Linked DNA regions of Callithrix jacchus. The protein of the gene in region 2 interacts with the protein of the main gene of each other region in a pairwise test. Links are inferred from orthologs where the notes say so. Each region holds a gene or a part of one and is shown on either strand. Other genes may lie near its edges. The genes, in order: OLFM3, STUB1 and HSPB1.

Region 1 (7,022 bases), on a different chromosome or scaffold from region 2:
CAGTATAGTCGTTGGCATAAGCTGTCTATCCGAAAGAGTGTAGAAAACAAAACCTACTTAGTGTTCTTGAGAAGATGGAAATTGCATATCAAGAAGATTTTTTTAAAGTGTTCTTCAATATTGAATTTACTTTGGAATGTTCCATTTCCTCTTTTCCAGTTTAGTACCAGCACAGAGCAAAATCCAACTCATGGTAGGATTCAACAAATAAATAAATTCCACGAATATATGTTGAGCACATAATTATTATTATTTGTAATTCAGAGACCTAAAGTCTACTTGGAGAAGCAATGCAGCATTAATATTAGGAGGTATGGGTCTGGAGTTGGATTTTGTGAGTTTGAATCTTGGTTCTAATGCATATTAGATACAGGTCTCTTGATAAAGTACTCAACCTCTTTGATATGATTTGACTCCGTGTCCCCACCTAAATCTCATCCCAAATTGTAATTCGCACATGTCAGGGGAGGAACCAGGTGAAAGGCGATTTGATCATGGGGGCTGTTTCTTTCATGCTCTGATACTGAGTTCTCATGAAAGCTGATGGTTTTAAAGTGTGGTACTTCTGCATTCATACTCTCTGTCTCTCTCTCTCTCTCTCTCTAGCCTACTGCCTTGTGAAGAAAGTGTCTGCTTCGCCCTCTGCCAGAATTGTAAGTTTCCTGAGGTTTCCCCAGCCATGCAGAACTGTAAGTCAATTAAACCTCTTTCACACATTACCCAGTCTCAGGGCAGATCTTTATAGCAGTGTAAGAATGGACAAACACACTCTTTGTGCATCAGTTTCTTTATCTTTAAACTGGATATGAAAATAGTGCCTGAGTTACAAGATTGTTGTGAGGATTATACAGTTAATATACTGAAAGTGCTCAGAGGTGTGCCTTGAATATGTATAATTGTTCCAAAAATAGCTATTGTTGTAATCATTACTGTTATTTGAATTTTAACATATAACTTCAGCATATACTTGTATTACATGAACTAGGAAAATCCAAACCATTATGCCACATGGTGCTGCGGCCTGTAAATTGTTTTCTTATTAGTAGTCTGGCTAATTTGCTGCTAGGAAATTTATAGACTAGGCACATTATTTCTTTGGGTTTATCTCAGCTTTTATCTTTTTTTGTTTCTTTGTTTTCTGTCTTCTCTCAAAAGTTCCCAAAGATGAACATACTTCATTACACATTCCTCAGCCCTGTCAACCCTGACACTCTCAAGCTGTCCTTGGGCTTTACAGAATTCTCACTGCATTGTCCATCTCCACCAAGCAATCTCAGATCCTCTCCTCCTGGTTAGTTCCTTCTAGGAATGCTCTTCCCACAACTAAATGCCAGCTTACTATTTTCTACTTTGCCGATGACCTCAACATTAGATTCACATTGTTACTTTACCGTCTACACTCTAACTCTGAGCATTGAAAATTGACACAGAAAATCTTTTGGTTTTCTTGACCCCCTATAACTTAGTAGTGGAGGGGTAGGGTCACTAGTCCCAAACTGCTTTCCTGTAATTCTTCTCCTGTTTAAAACAAAATTAATTGCTCTTCCCTTTGTGCTCTTAAGTAATGCTTATGCCTCTACTCACTATCAATTCACCTGTGTGTGAGTTGTCTTTCATAGAAGAGAGATTACGTTAATACATCCAGCAGAGGGGCCAGCCGTACTTTGTGTGTGGTATGGGCTCAATAAATACTGCCTAAAATTAATTCTTTTGCTCTTCAACCTCATATACTTCTGTCTTTACCATTTATCCATAAGTTTCCTATTTATCCATTTCACTCATACTTTCATTTTCAATAATCTTTAAACTTATTATTGTATCTTCCAAGTCTTGCTCTAATTTGTCCTAATATCTTAACCTGCTGGCTTTGTTTACTTCTCTATTCAATTTAAACCTCATGATTAATCACTTCCATTCCCTCTCGTTTCAATACCCTCAACTTCCTCTCCCTCTTTTACTTCTGTTATGACCTTCTTGGTAAAGCTTTAAATCCAGTTCAGGGTATAATTCTCTTCCATACCTCTCTACTCAGTCTCTTGAGTACCACTGAAGAAAATTACAAAACCATGAAACTTTCTGCCACATTAAAATGTGTTATGCAGAGACTCTGTTACATGTTCCTCGCTAGCTCCCCACTTGCCACCATTAGGTGCAGGAAGTGCTCCTTTCCTTGCCCAAGGGCTTGAATTCAGATCCACTCCCTCAACATCAGCAGTGAATCTCACTTCCTAATTGGCAAGAAAAACAGAGGCTGTTAAGTGGGCAACCGTAGTGTGTTTTATGAATTATGGGCTGTGCCTTGGAAAGGCAGATGATTTACTTTTAACAGAAGCTCAAACTACATTATCAGACCAAGAATTTTTCCTTAAAATTCATATCTCTTTTATACATAGTTAACAAATGTCCACATAGCATAATTTATTTCTCCATCTTCAGTATTTGTAAATAATTGCCAATAAAACACTTAAAATCTAGAAAAAAGACTTGACTTGTATAAAGTATAAAATAACTCTCTCTATATGCTCATATTTATGGCATAGTTATTTCTTTCGAAAATTTATGTCATCTACATCTTTCTTCATATTAGCAGGGCATGAAACCATTTGAGAAATATTTATAATTTAATTATTACTTTTCCTTGGGGTTTCCCTCTCCACCAAACTCTACAAGGATGAGGCTTTTTTCATAGCAAGCCTTCTGTGTCTTCCTGTCAGCTGCTAATGGTCAGTTTCAGTGGAGAGATGACTGAAATTCTCCACGAGTCTTTTCCCTTGCATATATGGGCCAATGAACGGTCATTTCTAGCTGAGTGCTCCACTGCTGTCCATCCTACTTAGGGTCTGATTTGGATTGACAAGATTGCAGAAGTCAAACCTACCTGAAAATGCTTGGTCATAAGTGTCTTTCGATCATCTTCAATCTGCCGAAACTTTGCCTTCAGCCCTTTCATTTGGGTTTCCATTTTTAAAACATATTGAAAATCTCTCTGAGTTCTCAAGTTTAAGACCTCAATAGACTGGGACATGTTCTGAACCTGTTAAACAAGAATATTGTCTGTAATTACTGTCTGTTTGCAGGTTTGTGCAATTACTAAGAAACAGCAAAAATGCCATTGATATAAAAACTAGAAGTGCCAAATTCATAATTGCATTCCCATATGACATACTTTCAGAAGAACAATTCTTCATGATAAACATTTAAAGAATTCAGCAAGAGAAAATTATACCTAGACAGGAAATTTAAAAATGGGCATTCCAGCATTAGAACTGACTGAGTATAATTGAGTTTAATACATTAGAAAAATAAGCTTTAAAAACAAGTTTTTCATTTTAAGGGTTTGTTAGCTTAAAATGCCCCAACATGTTAAATGCCAAAATAAGTTGTTTCAGTAAGTACGAATTCTGACTTCCTAAATATCTAGGATGTTTAGCAATTACGGATGGTAGTGAAGTGTCCAAAGGACTAGAATGCATTCATTCTAGTACAATAAGTTCTTAATGTGTCTAAAGTAGTCGCAGGGGAGAGATGGAATTGACCAAGACAGGTTATAGCAGTGCTGGAACACTGCATAAATTCAGCAGCATAGTGTTTAAGGGACCCAGAAAGTGGTAACTGTATCAAGTGCTTTGTAGACAGGTGTTAAACACATTTTAAGCCAATAGCACCATTCCAGGTTCACTGAACCCTGGGCTATTTAGAAGTAAAAAAGAGGTAGCCTGTAAAAGATGCAGAAATGACAGGAAAAAAACGACCGGTCTAATTGTTGTGGCAGCAAAAACCTGAAAACAAAGTGAAAGCCACTAATAATGGAAGCTGTTAAATAATTAGAGAAACTGAATATGAATGATCCATTATAAAGAATAAGTTAATCTCTGTACGGTTAGTAGTCAAAGCAACAACTCTGGTATCACCTAGGAGTTTGTCAGAAATGCAAAATCTCAGAAATGTTCATCCAGAATTACTGAATCAAAATCTGCATTTTATCAAGATTCCCAAGTGATTCCTATGCCTATCAAGGTTTGAGAAGTACTGCTCAACATGGAAAGATTTCAACGAGAAAAGCAAATGTAAAACCTTTACATAATTTGATCTTTTTTTGTCTCACTCTGTCACCCAGGCTGGAGTGCTGTGGCGCGATCTTGGCTCACCGCAACCTCTGGCCCCTGGGTTCAAGCAGTTATCCCGTCTCAGCCTCCTGAGTAGTTGGGACTACAGTCGCTTGCCTCCACGCCCGGCTAATGGTTGTAATTTTTAGTAGAGACGTGCTTTCACCATATTGGTCAGGCTGGTCTCAAACTCCTGACCTCAGGTGATCCATCCATCTTGGCCTCCCAAAGTGCTGGGTTTACAGGCATGAGCCACTGAGCCCAGCCAATCTGTTTATTCTAAATCAAATACACATACATTCACATACATATAATCAGTAAAAAGTTATTTTCATTGAAAAAATGTGAATTACAAAGGGATGACTTGTTCAGGCACAAATTTCTGTAATCAGATAAAGTCACAATGCTTAGTGGATCAGACGCTGTAAAGGTCCCGTAGTTGATACAGTTCTTAGAACTGTAATATTGGTAAAAGGCAATGAATACTGCCTTGGTCTGCCTCAGTTCTTTGCCTTTTTTCACCCTTTTCTGTTCCCTATGTTGTCTTGATCCATCATCTTGCCCTGTTTGAATGCTGTCCTTTTAGGACATATTACAGTCCAGCTTATCTTAAACCTAATTGTGTTATGTGGGTGTTGGGGGTGGGGCAGGGAAGTGGCTCTCCCTCTGTGAGCTCCATGAGGTTACAAGCTGTGTCTTACTCATATCTTCCATTTCCAAGACTTTACACAGAACTAGGCACAGAACAAGTGTTTGATAAATATTTATTGAGTAAACTTATCTTGAGTTTGTAGTAGTAATAATAAGTAATTAGAATTTTAAGAAGAGTCTTCCCCCTCCTGTTTCTGGTTAGGCAACAGCATTTCAGGACTATAAATATTTCTTAATTTACTAAAAGTTTTATATTCAGAAATCTTTGTTTTTAATTTTTTAAATATTTAGTGCAACACAAAATTACCAAGACAACATTGAAAACATGATAACGCCATTGTGGATAAATGCAATGCTTTCAACATAATTTTCTAACTTCATTTGTGGTTGAGCATGAATACAGAAAAGCTATTTGCATTTAAAAAAACTGTCTACCTATTTAAATACAGCATTTGTCTGTGAAGACATCTACCATTAGTATAACTGATGTCCTGCTAATGATTCTATGTACTTGGACCAAGTCCATATAATTAGAAAATGATGGGCAAAATAAGGTACTCTGGATAAAGTTAAAATAGGCTGTCTTCGGTCAGGTGCTGTGGCTCAAGCCTGTAATCCCAGCACTTTGGGAGGCCGAGGCAGGTGGATCACGAGGTCGGCAGATCGAGACCATCCTGGTCAACATGGTGAAACCCCGTCTCTACTAAAAATTACAAAAAATTAGCTGGGCACGGTGGCGTGTGCCTGTAATCCCAGCTACTCAGGAGCCTGAGGCAGGAGAATTGCCTGAACCCAGGAGGCGGAGGTTGCGGTGAGCCGAGATCGCGCCATTGCACTCCAGCCTGGGTAACAAGAGCGAAACTCCGTCTCAAAAAAAAAAAAATAGGCTGTCTTTATTTTTGCCTCTGACTCGCCCTATAAAGTGAATTTTCAACTTCATTTGTGTTATGGGAAATTGCACTGAGAGAATTTTTGCTGAGACTTGATTGTGACCTATATTGCAGAATCATGTGTAATTAGAAGAGGTACATTTGTGGTAATGGCTAGAGATAGAGTTGTCTAATAGGGCAGCATTTGGCTCCAGGTTGTCTTAAGCATCTCCTGCTGGCTGTACCTAGGATTGTTTAGTTTCCCGATGGCTATGGAGGCCCATGGAGCATCAGTTTCCTGATGATACAGCAGACTGGATACACATGATGACTTGTGTAGGGAAGGAGATCTGTCTGCTGTGTTCCCTCTTTTTGTCGGCTTGTCTCTGCAGTTCTGTGATTCACCTTTTCATAGGTGTTTCTGTGCTTAGGCTCTCTCTGCATAGTTTGACAAGCTCATTGTCCCCTTTCTTAAATAATTCTTTTGGAATCTTTATTTATTCTTGTTCTTCATATAAATAAAATATCTGGGGCTTTTTTGAACTTAAACACAAATTAACTTAGATTTTCACTCTCATAATTAGTAAGGCGAGACTTGAAAAACAAAAGTTCTATTGATTAAATATGTTTGAATAACTTGAGTTTAACACATATAAACAGATTTCCTGACTGTGGGACTTAACAAAACCTCTAGTAGTAAACTGTATATTAGAAATCTTCAAGAGTGAAGTATCATGTACAGTGTTTCTTAAACTGATTTTATTGGTGAGGATGTTGGCAGTATCGTATTCAAAAAATCATACTTTAGGAAATACCGACTTAGATAATACAACACATCTTTAACTGTACAGGGAAGTTATATAGTTAATAAACGTATACTTTTTTAGGTGAGCAATTTTAGTTTTGGCATACTAAGACCTGAAATACTGTGAAACCGATTATATTTTTTCTAATATTCAATAATATAAATACTTGTTAGAAATGTTTAACAGAACGTCACTTAAATAAGTGTGGACATACCTGTGGCATTTTGTGTGACACTGGTATAGCATTGAGAAGCTGCAGATGGATGTTACAGCCCACAGCTTACTGATTGAGTGACTAGACAACCAGTTTTCTTTTATGTAAATTTAGATAACTACCCCATTTATAAGGATTGAAAGAAGTGGATACAAAATATAAAATATACTACTCATGGGAATTGTTGTTGTAAATATCGCTTTTGTTAACAATATTCCCTTATATACAACTAAATTGATCTTTCTGGTTAAAAGTGAAGGAGGCACTTAGAGGTCATGATGCTCTTGTTTTCCCTTTGGTGTCTTGGATACATGTGAAACTCTAGAGAGGGCAGCCAGGGACTGATCAGTCTAAAATACCATGGTGTCTCAGATGT
Region 2 (7,506 bases):
GCCTGGTCTTGGGCCCCAGACGGGCAGAGGCTGGAACTTGAAACCCCAATAAAGGAAGTGGAATCGCTGTCCGCGCGGGGGCTTGCAGTGTGCTCGCCGTGCAGCTGCTGGGCGGGGGCTCTCTCCGGGGCTGTCGCCATGGTAACCAGCGATGCCAATAGGCCTCTTCCGGGGCGGGGCAAAGGAGATCACTTCCGGAACCATCCGGGCACCCGGCGGTTGCCATGACGACGAGGTTGCGGCCAATGGCTGGCGGACGGGCCTGAGGTTCCCGGCGTGCAGCGCGGCTGCCTGAGGGCGGCGGGCTCATGGCGCCGGGGTCGTGGTTGCTCGCGCTCTGGGCGCTGGCGGCTCTGGTTCTACCCAGCTCGGGGGAGGAGGGCGACGGCGGGTGGTGAGCGGCCCGGGAGGGGCCGGGCGGGGGGTCTCGTGCGGCGGGTAGGGCGCGGGCTGACCGGGCTGTGCCCGCAGGCGCCGGGGCGGGCCGGGGGCCGCGGCCGAGGAGCAGCGCTGCACGGTGGAGCGCCGCGCCGACCTTACCTACGCCGAGTTCGTGCAGCAGTACGTGCGCCCCTGACCGCGGAGATCGCGCCCTGGTCACCCGCCCGCCTAAGGCGCCTTCCCCGAGCTCCCGCGAGTGTGGGGCGGGGGCGGCGAGGGTGGCGGTCGAGCCTGGGCGCGACTCTGCCCTTCCTTCCAGGTACGCGTTCGTCAGGCCCGTTATCCTGCAGGGACTCACGGACAACTCGGTGAGCGCGCGCCCGTCCCCGGACACCCTCGCGCGTGCTGGGCCCGGCCTCTAAGCCCCGCCCCCGCCCGCCCCCCCGCAGAGGTTCCGGGCCCTGTGCTCCCGCGACAGGTTGCTGGCGTCGTTCGGAGACAGAGTGGTTCGGCTGAGCACCGCCAACACCTACTCCTACCGGAAGGGTGAGCCGCCCCACCCCGGGCCCGCCTGCTTGCCAACGCCGCGACGGCTGCAGCAGCCGGTCTTGACCCGTCCCTTCCCTGCAGTGGACTTGCCCTTCCAGGAGTATGTGGAGCAGCTGCTGCACCCCCAGGACCCCACCTCCCTGGGCAATGGTGAGTCAGCCATGTATGGCGGTGTTGGGGCGGCGACACGCTTGGAGCCTCCCAGTGCCGGGATCCCTGCCCCACCGTCTCTGTTGCAGACACCCTGTACTTTTTCGGGGACAACAACTTCACTGAATGGTCCTCACTTTTTCGGCACTACTCCCCACCCCCATTTGGTCTGCCGGGTACCGCTCCAGCTTACAGCTTTGGAATCGCAGGTGGGTGCTCCTTGGGACTGGGGAGGAGTGAGGCTTCTGAGAGTGGGTACTAAACAGGTGGGTCACTAGGTGCTCGTAACCCCACAGGAGCCGGCTCGGGGGTGCCCTTCCACTGGCACGGGCCTGGGTACTCGGAGGTGATCTACGGCCGTAAGGTCAGCCCAGGGTGGGTGTCGGGGCTTGGGTGGATGACCCAAGTGGGCAAGGGTGACGCTGCTGCCCCTGCCCACAGCGCTGGTTCCTCTACCCACCTGAGAAGACGCCAGAGTTCCACCCCAACAAGACCACGCTGGCCTGGCTCCGGGACACATACCCAGCCCTGCCGCCGTCTGCACGGCCCCTGGAGTGTACCATCCAGGCTGGTGAGGTCAGTGGCTGGCAGGAGGGACCGGGCCAGGTCAGAGGCCCGCAGCTGATCTCGGCTGCACCCCCTTCCTTCACCAGGTGCTGTACTTCCCCGACCGCTGGTGGCACGCCACACTCAACCTTGACACCAGCGTCTTCATCTCTACCTTCCTTGGCTAGCCGTGGCAGCCGGCAGGCACTCCTGTCACACAGAGCACTTCTTCCCCAGCTTGTGCTCACGGATTTTATTACACAGACGGTGGCCGCAGCCCAGCCCACCCTCACCTGCTTTTCCAGCCCAGAATGGGGGACGGGGAGGATCACAGCCCAGCAAGAGCTATGCTGAGAGGGGAGCCGTCCAGAGCCCAACAGCAGAACTGGGGGGAAGGGAAAGGGTGGCCAGGGACACAAGCTATGTACAGGGGCTGGGGGCTTCTGCCCGTGGCCCTCCGGGGCCAGGACACTGGGCAGGGCGAGGAGCTCAGTAGTCCTCCACCCAGCCGTTCTCAGAGATGAATGCATCAATGACCTCCTTCATAGCCAGGTTGGGAATGAGCTGTTCCTGCGTCAGGGGGCTCCGGGTCACAGGGTCAAAATGGCCTACACGCTGCAGTGACAAGAGGCAGAGGCTGCTCAGCAAGCCTAGGACCCTGCTGCTGGCCCTGCCCACCCCCTGGCCCCAGCCTCACCTGCAGGTGCTCCTCGATGTCCTTGCGGTCGTAAGTGATGCCACTGGGTGTGATGCACGGCTCCCGCATCAGCTCAAAGCTGATCTTGCCACACAGGTAGTCAGGGATGTCGCGCTTCTGTGGCACATGGGCACAGGGTCAGAGGCTGGGAAGGGGCTGCTCCAGGACCTACCACCCACAGCAGCACTCACCTTCCTCTTCTCATCCACCTGAGAGAAGAGCTCATCCATGTCCGCCATGTATCTGTCCTGTGGAAAGTTGAGCAGTGCTTGGGAGGGACACCCCACTTCCCTCCTCCGTGGTACCCAGACCCAACACGAGGCAGGGACACACAGACCCACAGCAGGGTGGGGACGCTCCCGTGCCACGTGTGCACACACACAGACCCACATGTGGATGGGGGCACCCTCACGTGCTTGGCCTCAATGCAGGCCTGCTGGGCCCGGACGTGACTGTCGTCCTCGTCACCCTCGTGGTTCTGCTGGCACTCTTTCAGCTCCCTGGGGGATGACCAGGAGCCCGTCAGAGACGGACCTGGCCAGAAGATGTCTGACCACACCCCAGACTCAGGGCTAACATCCAGGCTTCTTCCCCACATGCACTGCTCGCCAGTAAAACTTTCAGTAAACATTCGTGTTGGCGGTTGGTTATTCAGAATTATCCCCAGACAGCGCGGCCTGGGGTAAGGGTCCCACCTCTCACGCTCCGCCGCAATGAGCCTCGAAAGGTAGGAGTGCAGCTCACTCTCCTGGTGGATGCGCCGCTCCTCGATGCTGTTCCAGCGCTTCTTCTTCGCGATTCGCAGAGCGCTGGGGATGTCGTCCCCAAAGTTCAGTCGCTGCTCCTTGGCCAGGCTGTAGGCTGGGGAACAAGGGCTTCCGGTCACGCTGGCCAGTCCAACCGCCTGGTCCCAGGGGCCCCGCACCCAGGCAGCTTGTCGGCCAACCTCGCTGCAAATTGGCGATGGCCTCATCATAGCTCTCCATCTCCAGCTGGCACTGCCCCAAGAAGAAGTGCGCCTTCACAGACTGCCCGTCCAGCTCCAGGGCGCGCCGGCAGTCGGCCAGGGCCTGCTCATGCTGCTGCATCTTCAGGTAGCACAGGGCCCGGTTGGTATAATACACGGCCACCAGCGGGTTCCGGGTCTAGGGACCAAGGCCGGGCCAGCCGCATCAGGCGTAGGCTCAGCGCGCCCCCTCTGTCCCAGGGCCCGTCCCAGCTTCTGCGATCTGGCTACGATCAAGAACCTAGACCTCTCAGTAGCCAAAGCCTCTGGGTCCAAGGATCTGCAGACACGGGACTACTGGCTGAGCCTACACACCTCACTCCGGTTGGTTCTGTAGAGTTTTCCAAATCTTTGGAGAGTCCCAGCTTTGGACCCTGGCCTCCCACCCACCCGGCCGGCCTCCATCTAGCATCCCACCCTCGTTCCCCGGCACCTGGCGCTGGGATCGAGAACCAATGCTGGGCTTTCGGAGCCCAGGATACCCGCCGCGGAGGAGCCAGACCCTCGGCGGGGCCGGCCGATCGCGGGCGTGGCCCTCCGACTCGCCGTCGCCGCCTTCCCCACGCGGGCGCACTCACGATCGCGCGGCCGTAGCAGGCCGCCGCCTCCGGGTACTTTCGGCCCACAAACAGACGGTTGCCCTGTTCCTTGAGCTCCTGCGCGCTCGGGCTCTTCTCCGGGCTTCCGCCGCCAGCGCCCAGCCGCGCGCCGCCCTCCTTCTCCTCCTTGCCCTTCATGGCGCCGAGCGGCACGGCCTGGGCTGCGCTCCCAAGCTCCGCGCCTGACGGCCCTGCACCCGAAGCCCGAGCCCGAGCCCTGCAGCCCGAGCCCACGATCAGCTCGGGCCCGGCCCAGCTCCGCCGCCGGAACTTCCGGCCGGGGGCGGGATCGGCGGGGACGCAGGCGTCGGGGGGCGGGTAGGGCCGCGCGTGCGCCCAACCAGCCTGGGCGGGGACAGTCGGCCCGCGACGTAGCTGGCTGCGAGGAACGCTCCGGTTCCCTGGCCCCGCGTTTTTCAGGGTCGGCATTCGCGGAGGCCAGCCCCGCCCCGCCCCGCCGAGGCCTCTCCAGAACTGGCCTCGGTGGCGGCCGTCCCATATATCCGGTTTTCTCCGTGAGGTGCCTCAGCCTTGGTTCGCTGAGGGCGTGCTTCCCTAAAAGCCTGTCCCGCCCACGTGGGATTCCGCCCCTGCCCCAACCCGTAAAGACCCCATCTGCAGAGGTCCCGCCCCCAGCAGCCCGCCCCGCCCCCAACAACAGGCCGCATCTGCGGCGGTCCCGCCCCCGGCACCCGCCCCCACTCCCAGCACCTGGCCCATCGGCAGAGGCCCCGCCCCCGCAGCCACCCCCATCGGCGGAGGCCCCGCCCCCAGCACCCGGCCACGCCCCCATCAGTCAGCCCCGTCTGCAGAGGTTCCGCCCCTGGCAGCCGGCCCCGCCCTCGGGGGGGGGTCGACTCCGTTTGCAGAGGTCCCGCCCCCAGCAGCCGGCCCCTTCCGCAGAGGCTCCGCCCCTGAGAGCCGACCCCTCCCCTCCACGTAACATGGCGGCCTCCCACGCGCTCTGGGGCTGTGGGGACCCCAGCGGCTTGCTGGGCTGCCATCCTGGAATGCCACCGAAAGGTGCTACGAGCGCGCGCGGGCCCCCGAGAGCGGCTGGAAGCCGTGGACCGTTGGTAGACTGGTAAGAGATAAAGGGATCCGTGGGGCGAGTGTCCCCGTGGCCGGACCTCCCCTCACCCCCTTTTCCAGGTAACGGGAGGAGTTGCTGGCGGCCATCAAGGGCCGAGCGGAGAAGCACGTGACGCGAAGGGAGCTGGAACGGCTGTTAGTCTAGAGGCTGCCGGTGGGGTGCGGCCCCGCCTCCTCGTGTGCGGGGCCTCCGTAGGGCGGGTCTTCAGGGAGTGGCGTCGGTGGGGCGGTGCTTCCTCGTGGGCGGGGCCTCCTAGGGGCGTGTCTTCGTGGGGGCGGGGCTTTGTCGTGGGGCGGGGTTCCTGGAGGGTCCACCACTCCAGGCATCCTGACCTGGCCTCCCACAGAGAGGCCGCTTTTGGCCATGTCTTCAGCAGCCTGTGGCCACCAATCCCCTGAGCTGGTTGTGCACCGCTTGACCTCCGCCTTCTGACTCCTGCCAGAGTCGGGGGCCGCAGTCATAAAGTTGTGTGCCCTCCGCGGTGTGGGCCCACCACAGGTGAGTCGGGTGTGCACGACCTGGGTGCACAGGCATCCTTGTCTGTGAAGCCGGCAGTCTGGGCCCTTGCATGTTCCTGGGAGCAGGAGCAGGGTCTCCCAGAGCTTGTCCTGATGGGGTGTCTGGCTGCTGTCTCCTCGCTGCTCAGAGCAGTCCTGGCGGTCGGAGCTCCACAGCTGGAAGCCTTCTTGTCAGATGAGGCAGTGGCCACAGTGCCCAGTCTTCTGACCCCACAGTACACCCTCAGGCACAACCTGCTGTCCCTGGGCCGGGTTCAAGCTCTGAGCCAAGGTGAGCAATCTGTGCATGGGCAGGGTGGGGGGGGGCCTGTGCCCTGGGCCTGACTCCATGTGCCCCTCCCTAGCCAGTGCCTCAGGACAGTGGACTCCTCACCTAGTGGAGACAGCGCTGTGGACCGGGGCCTTGGGGCAGAGGCTGTGCCCACACCTGTTGCCCAAACTTGGCCCCAGCTTGGCCACCCACGAGGATGCTAGGCCAGCGAAGAAGCGCAGGACCCAGGCTGAGTGGACTCGGCTACGGCCCTGGCCCACTCACCTGCCACACAACCTCAGGCCTCGGGTGTCACTGGATGCCAGGGAGGCTGCCACCATGGAGCTCAATAAACACTGCCAAACTCACGCCTGACCACACTCCTGGCCTGACACACACCTGGCCCCCAGCCCTCCCCGGTGCCCGTAACTCCCACAGACCTTCGCCTGTGGCCCGGGGAACAAGTCCCACATGTGACCCCAGGTGCAGAGGTGCACAGGGAGGACAGCCAGGCTCTCGTGGTGGGCAGGGCCCTCACGGTCTGTTCAGCGGTTGTGGAGGTCCTGGCAAGTTTCCAGAGCCTGGGATAGCCCCTTGGTGCTGTGTAAAATATTTATTAATTATCCAAAAAGGCTCAGACTGCAAGTCCTGGGAGTAGGGAGTTGGCCGGGACAGGGTCTCCTCTGAGGCCACCCACACCCAAGGGGCACAGCAGCCCTGAGACGTCCGTTCACAAGGGCAGACACGAAGGCCCAAGGGGGGCAGCCACCATGTGCCAAGCCATGGCCTGTGCAGCCTCAGGTAGCCAGTCAGGGCGGTGGAGGGATGTGGGCACCAAGCAGGTCATAGGCAAAGACGTTCCAGAAGACGGCGAAGAGCAGGAAGGTGCCGTAGGCCAGCAGCACCACCCACCAGCCACACTGGTCCCGCAGGCGCTCCTCGTAGCTGCGCAGGATGGTCAGGCCCATGCTCACCCCCACCACCGCGCCTGCCAGGTGCGCCATGAAGCTGGGCTGTGGGCCCGAGGCGGGCAGCGGCGGGGAGAAGCGCAGCCACACGGCCCGGCCCACCTCGGAGCTCACTGCAGAGGGATGCGGCAGATGGGAGGTGCCCCGGCTGCAGGCTGAGAGGCCCCCCCCCGGCCCTCCCCCTCAGTCCCTACTCACTGCACACCAAGGCCAGCACCATCCTCAGCAACTTGTAAGGACATCTCATCCCAGCCCAGTTCTAGGGGGGTGTTCAGAGGAGAGGCCGTGAGGCTTGCCAGGGGCCCCTCCCCGCGCCCCCCACCGGGCAGGCCCGTTACCATGACGACGTTGGCCAGGTGTGCCGAGCACAGGGCGTAGACCCCGCCGGAGCCTCCCACCACCGGGGCCCGCATGTCGGTGATGGAGACGGTTAAGGAGCCTGTGTGAGCAAGCGGCGGGTGAGGGTGTGGCCGGCCAGGGTAGGGGGCGGGGGTGCGCGCCTGCCTCACCTGCCAGCACACCCGCCAGGTAGAGCAGGCTGATGCGGAGCAGGCCGTGCACCATCTCCAGGGGCACCCCGATCATCAGCTGCAGGAGGGCGTTGAACCCCAGCTGCTCCAGCCTGGCCACACGGGAGCAAATGGGCATAAGGGGTGGGGTCAGCCATCAGGCCCCACCCCCAGCCCTGTCAAGTTGCTGCACCTGCCCTGAGGCTAAGCCTTTCTGATGGAACGGCAGACGGGGTGGGG
Region 3 (6,821 bases), on a different chromosome or scaffold from region 2:
CTGGGTCCCTCAAAAAATTGAGGACATCAAAACCAAACTCCAAAGCCCCCATCTGCTTTTGTTTGTTTGAGACAGAGTTTCTGCTCTTGTCCCCCAGGCTGGAGGGCAATGGTGCGATCTGGGCTCACTGCAACCTCCGCCTCCCAGGTTCAATTGATTCTCCTGCCTCAGCCTCCCGAGTAGCTGGGATTACAGGCGTGCACCACCTCGCTTGGCTAATTTTTGTATTTTTAGTAGAGACAGGGTTTCAGCATGTTGGCCAGGCTGCTCTCGAACTCCTGACCTCAGGTGATCCACCTGCCTTGGCCTCCCCAAGTGCTGGGATTACAGGCATGAGCCACTACGCCTGGCACCCCCATCTGCTATGTACCTCCACAGCTTTCCCTGGGCCTGGTTAGAGGGTGGCAGCTAGGGCAAGGGCAGACAACAGAGGAACTGGGCCCATGGAGGCCTGGCTACACCGGGAGGGAGGCCAACTGAAAATAAACACAGGCAACAAGAATCGCTGGCAGAGCCAGCAGCACAGGTCTGAGCGCGTCGGCCAGGGTGCTACCCAATCTCCCCACCCAGAGACTGCGGGCTCCGTTCTCACCCCAGTTCTGCCTGCCAGTTCCCTTGTGACTGCCAACAGGGATGCCCTGGCCTCAGGGGGTGTGGCAGTGACGACCTCAAAGCTTACCAGGTCCACTGTGGTGCCCTTGGGTGCGCCGAAGCCGAAGCCAAGCTTCTGACGCAGTAATCTCTGCGGGGAGGTGCAATTACCCCCGTGCCCCTTCACCTGGGCCCCAGCCTCGCCGACCGTGAAAACTCAAGCCTCAGGTGCTTCCCATTTCCTCCGCTTCCACACCTTACAGTTTTAATTGCAACCATGACCTTGCAATCACGACCTTTTTTTTTTTTCTTTTAAAGACAAGGTCTCACTCTTTCTGAGTTTTTAGTTATTTATTGAGACGATCTTGCTCTGTTGCCCAGGCTGGAATGCAAAGGCACAATCTTAGCTCACTGCACGCTTCAACTCCTGGGCTCAAGCAATCTTCCAGCCTCAGTCTCCTGAGTAGCTGGGACTACAGGTGTGCAATAACACCCCTGGCTAATTTTTATTTCTGTTATTTTATTATTTTTTTTTTTTGAGACAGTCTTGCTCTGTCACCCAGGCTGGAGTGCAGTGGCACAATCTCGGCTCACCACAACCTCTGCCTCCCAGGTTCAAGTGATTCTCCTGTCTTAGCCTCCTGAGTAGCTGACATTACAGGCATATGCTACTACGCCTGGCTAATTTTTGTATTTTTGGTAGAGATGGGGTTTCAGCATGTTGGTCAGGCTGGTCTCGAACTCCTGACCTCATGACCTGCTCCCCTCAGCCTCCCAAAGTGCTGGGATTACAGGCATGAGCCACTGCAACTGGCTTTTTATTTTTAAGAGATAGGGTCTCACTGTGTTGTCCAGGCTGGTCTTGAACTCTCAGCTTCAAGCAATCCTCCTGCCTCAACTTACCAAAGTGCTGGTATTGCAGGTCTGAGCCACAATGCCGGGCAATAGGACCTCTCTGTCTTTATGGATGTGAATTAGCCTGTGCCTAGCAACCTACACGGGAGTACCCACATGGCCCAGCACGGGGCTGTGCACCCAGCACACCCTGAGCAAAGGTGGCTAGTGTAAGCCAGGGAATGGCAGGTGCCCGAAGCTTCCTTCCACAAACACCAGGGTCTGAGCCAGTGACAGGTGGGTTGCTTCAAACTTTATTTGAGAAAAACAAATAAACGTATCAAAAGAACACACAGGTGGGGGGGGAGGCATGGCCAGTGGCGGCGGCACGGGTGGGCATCCGGGCTAAGGCTTTTACTTGGCTGCAGACTGGTCAGATTTCGCAGCTTCTGGGCCCCCAAGCTGGGCCCGCGACTCGAAGGTGACAGGGATGGTGATCTCGTTGGACTGTGTGGCTGGCTTGGGCATGGGGGCCTCAACGGTCAGTGTGCCCTCAGGGGACAGGGAGGAGGAGACCTGGGTGGGGTCCACACCAGGGGGCAGCCTGGACGTGCAGAGAGGGAATGTGAACGTTACATTACACTTCGGGTGGGTCCCTGTGCCCTCCTCCCTAGCCCCCGGCACCCACCCACCCCGACCTGGCGGCAGGACTCACGAGTATTTCCGGGTGAAGCAGCGGGAGATGAATCCGTGCTCATCCTGCCGCTCCTCGTGCTTGCCTTCGGGGGACAGGAAAATCAGAATGAGGGAAAGGGGACCGACTCTCGGCCCCGCCAGGCCAGAGGCCCCACCTCCAGCTTGGAGGCAGCCAGGACTGCAGGCTGGCAGGGATTAACAGAGGAGACTGGGGGTGGGGGCGTGCCGGCCTGTCCGGGCTCTCAGAAACTTCCGGAAAGTTCGAGTAAGAGTTTTGGGAGGAACGGAGCAGGGTGCCGAGGGGCGGAGGGAGCAACGCGCAGGCGCACTGGGAGGAGCACGCACGCCCCTCGCGCGGCTAGGGACAGGGACCACGCCAGGGGACCCGCTTATCTGCGGATGGGGCTGCGGGTGGGGAGAGAGTTCCGTGGAAAGAAGCATTTCTTCACCGATGATCTTTTAAAACATTTTTGGTTGCTTTTTAATTTTCTTGTAGTTGGTAGGGGGGGAGGTCTCGCTATATTGCCCAGGCTAGTCTTGAACTCCTGGCCTCCGCCTCCCAAGGCGCTGAGATAACAGAGCAGAAAGCGACCTTAGAAGCGACCTGCACTCCCGATTCCTGAGCAGGGGAATCACGGACGGATCCCGTTTTTCCCGGTGCTGGGCTAACTTTTAACTCCCCAGGCCCGGGGTTTCAACCGCACCCCCGGGCCCCGCCCTCCCCGCTAGCCTCCTCCCCTCCCCTGCAGGGCCAGGGGGTGCTCACCGGTGATCTCCACCACGCCATCCTTGGTCTTGACCGTCAGCTCCTCGGGGGCGAAGTGGTTGACGTCCAGGGACACGCGCCAGCGGTCCGCCGTGTGCCGGATCTCCGAGACCCCGCTGCTGAGCTGCCGGCTGAGCGCGCGGCTGTAGGCGGGCGCGGCCACTGCGGGGCCCTCGACCGCGGCGGGGGGCAGGGGGCGCACGTAGCCCGGCCAGCTGCTGGTGCCGAACCACTGCGACCACTCCTCGGGCAGCCGGGGCATCCCGAATGCCTGGTCGAAGAGACGGTTGTGCGGGTACCAGTCGCGGAAGGGGTCCCAGCTGGGGCTCCGCAGGAGCGAGAAGGGGACGCGGCGCTCGGTCATGCTGGCTGGCTCTGCCCGGGACGTCTGCTCGGAGAAGTGCGGGCCGCGGTGCTGGGTCGCGCTTTTATGTGCCTCCGGTTGGGTATTTTTAGCAGGCGGTGTTTGAGGTCTCTATTAATGGAAATGACCCGTTTGGGACCGCCTCTCCCCATGCACCCCTCCCCCCCATCCGCAGAGTTCAGGGGGCCGTGGGCGGGGCGAAGAGGGTTCTGCCCCAATCTGGAACCTTCTCTCGTTAAGGAAAACAAATGAGTTCGAGAGTGCGACGCTGGAGACGTGCCACACTAGGGCACTCGGAGGCCCTGGTGCTTCAGCGCTGGCGGGTGTGGCCGGCGGCCAGGCCAGTCCTTTTGTTAAGCAGGACAGCGCCAGACAGGTTGGGCTGGGGCAAACAGCTGGGAAGTGGCAGAGGCAGGGTTGGAACCACAAGGCTGTGTGTGGAATGTGATGTAAAGCAGTCTGGTGCTTGAGTCCAGGAGTTCGAGGCTGTAGTGAGCTATGTTCTCACCGCCGCACTCCAGCCTAGGCAACAGAGCAAGGCCCTGTCTCAAAAAAATAAAAAGGGGCTGGGTGCATGGCTCATGCCTGTAATCGGCACTTTGGGAGGCCAAGGCAGGAAGGATGGATCCCTTGAGGCCGGGAGTTTGAGACCATTCTGGGCAACATGGTGAGACCTCACCTCTACCAAAAAATGTTTAAAAATTAGCTGGATGGCTGGGCGTGGTGGCTCACGCCTATAATCCCAGCACTTTGGGAGGCCGAGGCGGGTGGATCACGAGGTCAAGAGATCGAGACCATCCTGGTCAACAAGGTGAAACCCCGTCCCTACTAAAAATACAAATATTAGCTGGGCATGGTGGTGCGTGCCTGTAGTCCCAGCTACTCGGGAGGCTGAGGCAGGAGAATTGCTTGAACCCAGGAGGCGGAGGTTGCAGTGAGCCGAGATCGTGCCATTGCACTCCAGTCTGGGTAACAAGAGCGAAACTCCATCTCAAAAAAAAAAAAAAAAAAAAAAGGAATCTGACAATCTGTGTGGTTGCAAGGTGTGTGGGCTTTGGGAGGTTAAGGTGGGAGGATTACTTGAAGCAAGGAATTTGTGACCAGCCTGGGCAACACAGTGAGACCCCATTTCTACTAAAATTCAAAACAAATTAGCTGGGGATGGTGGCGTGCATCTGTAGTTCCAGCTACTCAGAAGGCTGAGGTGGGAGGATCATTTGAGCCCAGGAGGCTGCAGTGAGCCTGATTGTGCCACTGCACTCCAGTCTGCATAACAGAACAAGACCCTGTTTCTTTTCCTTTTTTTTTTTCTTAAGAGGGGGTTTCACCATGTTGATCAGGCTGGTCTTGATCTCCCGACCTCAGGTGATCCGCCCGCCTTGGCCTCCAAAGTGCTTGGATTACAGGCATGAGCCACCACACCTGGCCCACCCTGTTTCAAAAAACAAAACAAAAAATTATATTACTGTGGTTTTGTTGATTTATATTTTTTAAATTTGAGATGGAGTTTTGCTCTTTTGCATACCCAGTCTGGAATGCATAAGCAGGATCTCAGCTCACCGCAACCTCTGCCTCAAGGGTTCAAATGATTCTCCTGCCTCAGCCTCCTGAGTAGCTGGGATTACAGGCATGAGCCACCATGCCTGGCTAATTTTGTGTTTTTAGTAGAGATGGGTTTTCTCCATGTTGGTCAAATTGGTCTCGAACTTCTGACCTGAGGTGATCCACCTGCCTCAGCCTCCCAAAGTCCTGGGATTACAGGCATGAGCCACTACGCCCTACCACTGTGTTCTTACTGTACGTCTTCTATGTTTATTTGTAATTTTTTTGAGATGGAGTCTCCCTCTGTCACCCAGGCTGGAGTGCAGTGGCCCAATCTCGGCTCACTGCAACCTCTGCCTCCTGGGTTCAAGCGATTCTCCTGCCTCAGCCTCCCGAGTAGCTCAGACTACAGACATGTGCCACGACACCACCTAATTTTTGTACTTTTAGTAAAGACAGGGTTTCACCATGTTGGCCAGGCTGGTCTGGAACCCCTAACCTCAAGTAATCCACCTGCCTTGGCCTCCCAAAGTGGTGGGCTGACAGGTGTGAGCCACCGCGCGGCTGTCTTCTGTGTTTAGAAACGCTGCTACTTACCATCATGTTGCAGCCACCTCTAATATGTGGTGCAGTCATGTGCTGTAGAGGTTTGTAACCTAGGAGGGGGAGGCTAAACCGGACGGCTTAGGACCTAAGTGCACTCCGAGGTGTTCCCACAACGATGAAATTGCCAAACAAGGCATTTCTGAATGTGGCTCCGTTGTTAAGTGACTCATGACTGTACTGGGTTGGCCTGAGAATTCAGTGACCTAATGCAGGTGAAGGCTTTAGCCCAGAGCCTAGGTCATCATAATTATTAGTTGTTATTGTCTGCCTAGGATTGAAGAGAGAAGGGGAAGGAGAATTGCTGGGGTTTGGCCATTTTCCCCCAGCTCCTAACAGTGGGGCTGGCCCAGATCAGAACTCTGAAGTCGCAGAGGGGTCAGGAGGAAGGTTACAGTCACGTCTCCCACTATATCTGTCTTTCTTTAAGAAGCACTGGTTGGCGGGGCGAGGTGGCTCACACTTGTAATCCCAGCCCTTTGGGAAGCTGAGGCTGGTGGATCACCTGAGGTCAGGAGTTCGAGACCAGCCTGACCAACGTGGAGAAACCCCGTCTACTTAGAATACAAAATAAGCTGGGCATGGTGGCACATGCCTGTAATCCCAGCTACTCTGGAGGCTGAGGCAGAAGAATTGCTTGAACCTGGGAGGTGGAGTTTGTGGTGAGCTGAGCGCTCCAGCCTGGGCAACAAGAGCAAAACTCTGTCTCCAAAAAAAAAAAAAAAAAAAAAAAAAAAAAAGAAGCACTGGTTGGCCAGGTACAGTGGCTCATACCTGTAATCCCAGCACTTTCAGAGGCCGAGGTGGGCTTATTGCCTGGGTTCAGGAGTTCAAGACCAGCCTGGCCAACATGGTGAAACCCTGTCTCTACTAAAAATACCAAAAATTAGCCGGGTGTGGTGGTGGGCACATGTAATCCCAGCTACTGAGGAGGCTGAGGCATGAGGTTACAGTGAGCCAAGATTGGGCCACTGCAGCATTCCAGCCTGGGTGACATGATCTGTCTCAAAAAAAAAAAAAAGGGAGACTTAGTGTCTCAGGCCTGTTGTCCTGGCAAATAAGGGGGTGAGGTTACGCATTGGAGGCCAGCCTGGGCGACATAGAAAGCCCTCTTCCATATAACAACAACAACAAAAATTTGGCTGGGTGCGGTGGCTCACACCTGTAATCCCAGCACTTTGGGAGGCCGAGGTGGGCCGATCACCTCTGCTGATCAGGAGTTCGAGACCAGCCTGGGCAACATGATGAAAATACAGAAAATTAGCCGGGCATGGTGGTGCACGCCTGTAATCCCAGCTACTCGGGAGGCTGAGGCAGGAGAATCGCTTGAACCCAGAAGGCGGAAGTTGTAGTGGGCGGAGATCACGCCATTGTGCTCCTGCCTGGGCAACACAGCGAAACTCCATCTCAAAACAGAAAAAGAAA

Evidence for each region.
Region 1: the proteins of STUB1 (region 2) and OLFM3 interact in binary tests that used the Homo sapiens proteins (3 or more experiments, as listed by UniProt). The two-hybrid records come from large-scale screens. The link is inferred for Callithrix jacchus from reciprocal best matches to the Homo sapiens genes STUB1 and OLFM3.
Region 3: the proteins of STUB1 (region 2) and HSPB1 interact in binary tests that used the Homo sapiens proteins (3 or more experiments, as listed by UniProt). The link is inferred for Callithrix jacchus from reciprocal best matches to the Homo sapiens genes STUB1 and HSPB1.

The regions. Positions count from the first base shown.
Region 1 is NC_133508.1:144,021,650-144,028,671, reverse strand, and holds part of OLFM3 (noelin-3), read right to left. Parts: intron 3,035-7,022; coding exon 2,879-3,034; intron 1-2,878.
Region 2 is NC_133513.1:2,938,269-2,945,774, reverse strand, and holds STUB1 (E3 ubiquitin-protein ligase CHIP), read right to left. Parts: upstream 4,189-7,506; 5' UTR 4,067-4,188; coding exon 3,908-4,066; exon of another isoform or gene 3,763-3,907; intron 3,469-3,762; coding exon 3,270-3,468; intron 3,185-3,269; coding exon 3,019-3,184; intron 2,952-3,018; exon of another isoform or gene 2,824-2,951; coding exon 2,736-2,823; exon of another isoform or gene 2,572-2,735; coding exon 2,515-2,571; exon of another isoform or gene 2,441-2,514; coding exon 2,324-2,440; exon of another isoform or gene 2,264-2,323; coding exon of another isoform or gene 2,242-2,263; coding exon 2,116-2,241; 3' UTR 1,865-2,115; downstream 1-1,864. Other genes in the region: JMJD8 (jmjC domain-containing protein 8), read left to right, coding at 309-394, 472-561, 701-749, 831-1,080, 1,170-1,289, 1,377-1,444, 1,522-1,656, 1,734-1,814; RHBDL1 (rhomboid-related protein 1), read right to left, coding at 6,599-6,870, 6,956-7,016, 7,096-7,196, 7,267-7,379. UniProt on the Homo sapiens protein: E3 ubiquitin-protein ligase which targets misfolded chaperone substrates towards proteasomal degradation.
Region 3 is NC_133503.1:11,062,062-11,068,882, reverse strand, and holds HSPB1 (heat shock protein beta-1), read right to left. Parts: upstream 3,292-6,821; 5' UTR 3,252-3,291; coding exon 2,888-3,251; exon of another isoform or gene 2,447-2,887; intron 2,205-2,446; coding exon 2,141-2,204; intron 2,030-2,140; coding exon 1,840-2,029; 3' UTR 1,720-1,839; downstream 1-1,719. UniProt on the Homo sapiens protein: Small heat shock protein which functions as a molecular chaperone probably maintaining denatured proteins in a folding-competent state. Plays a role in stress resistance and actin organization.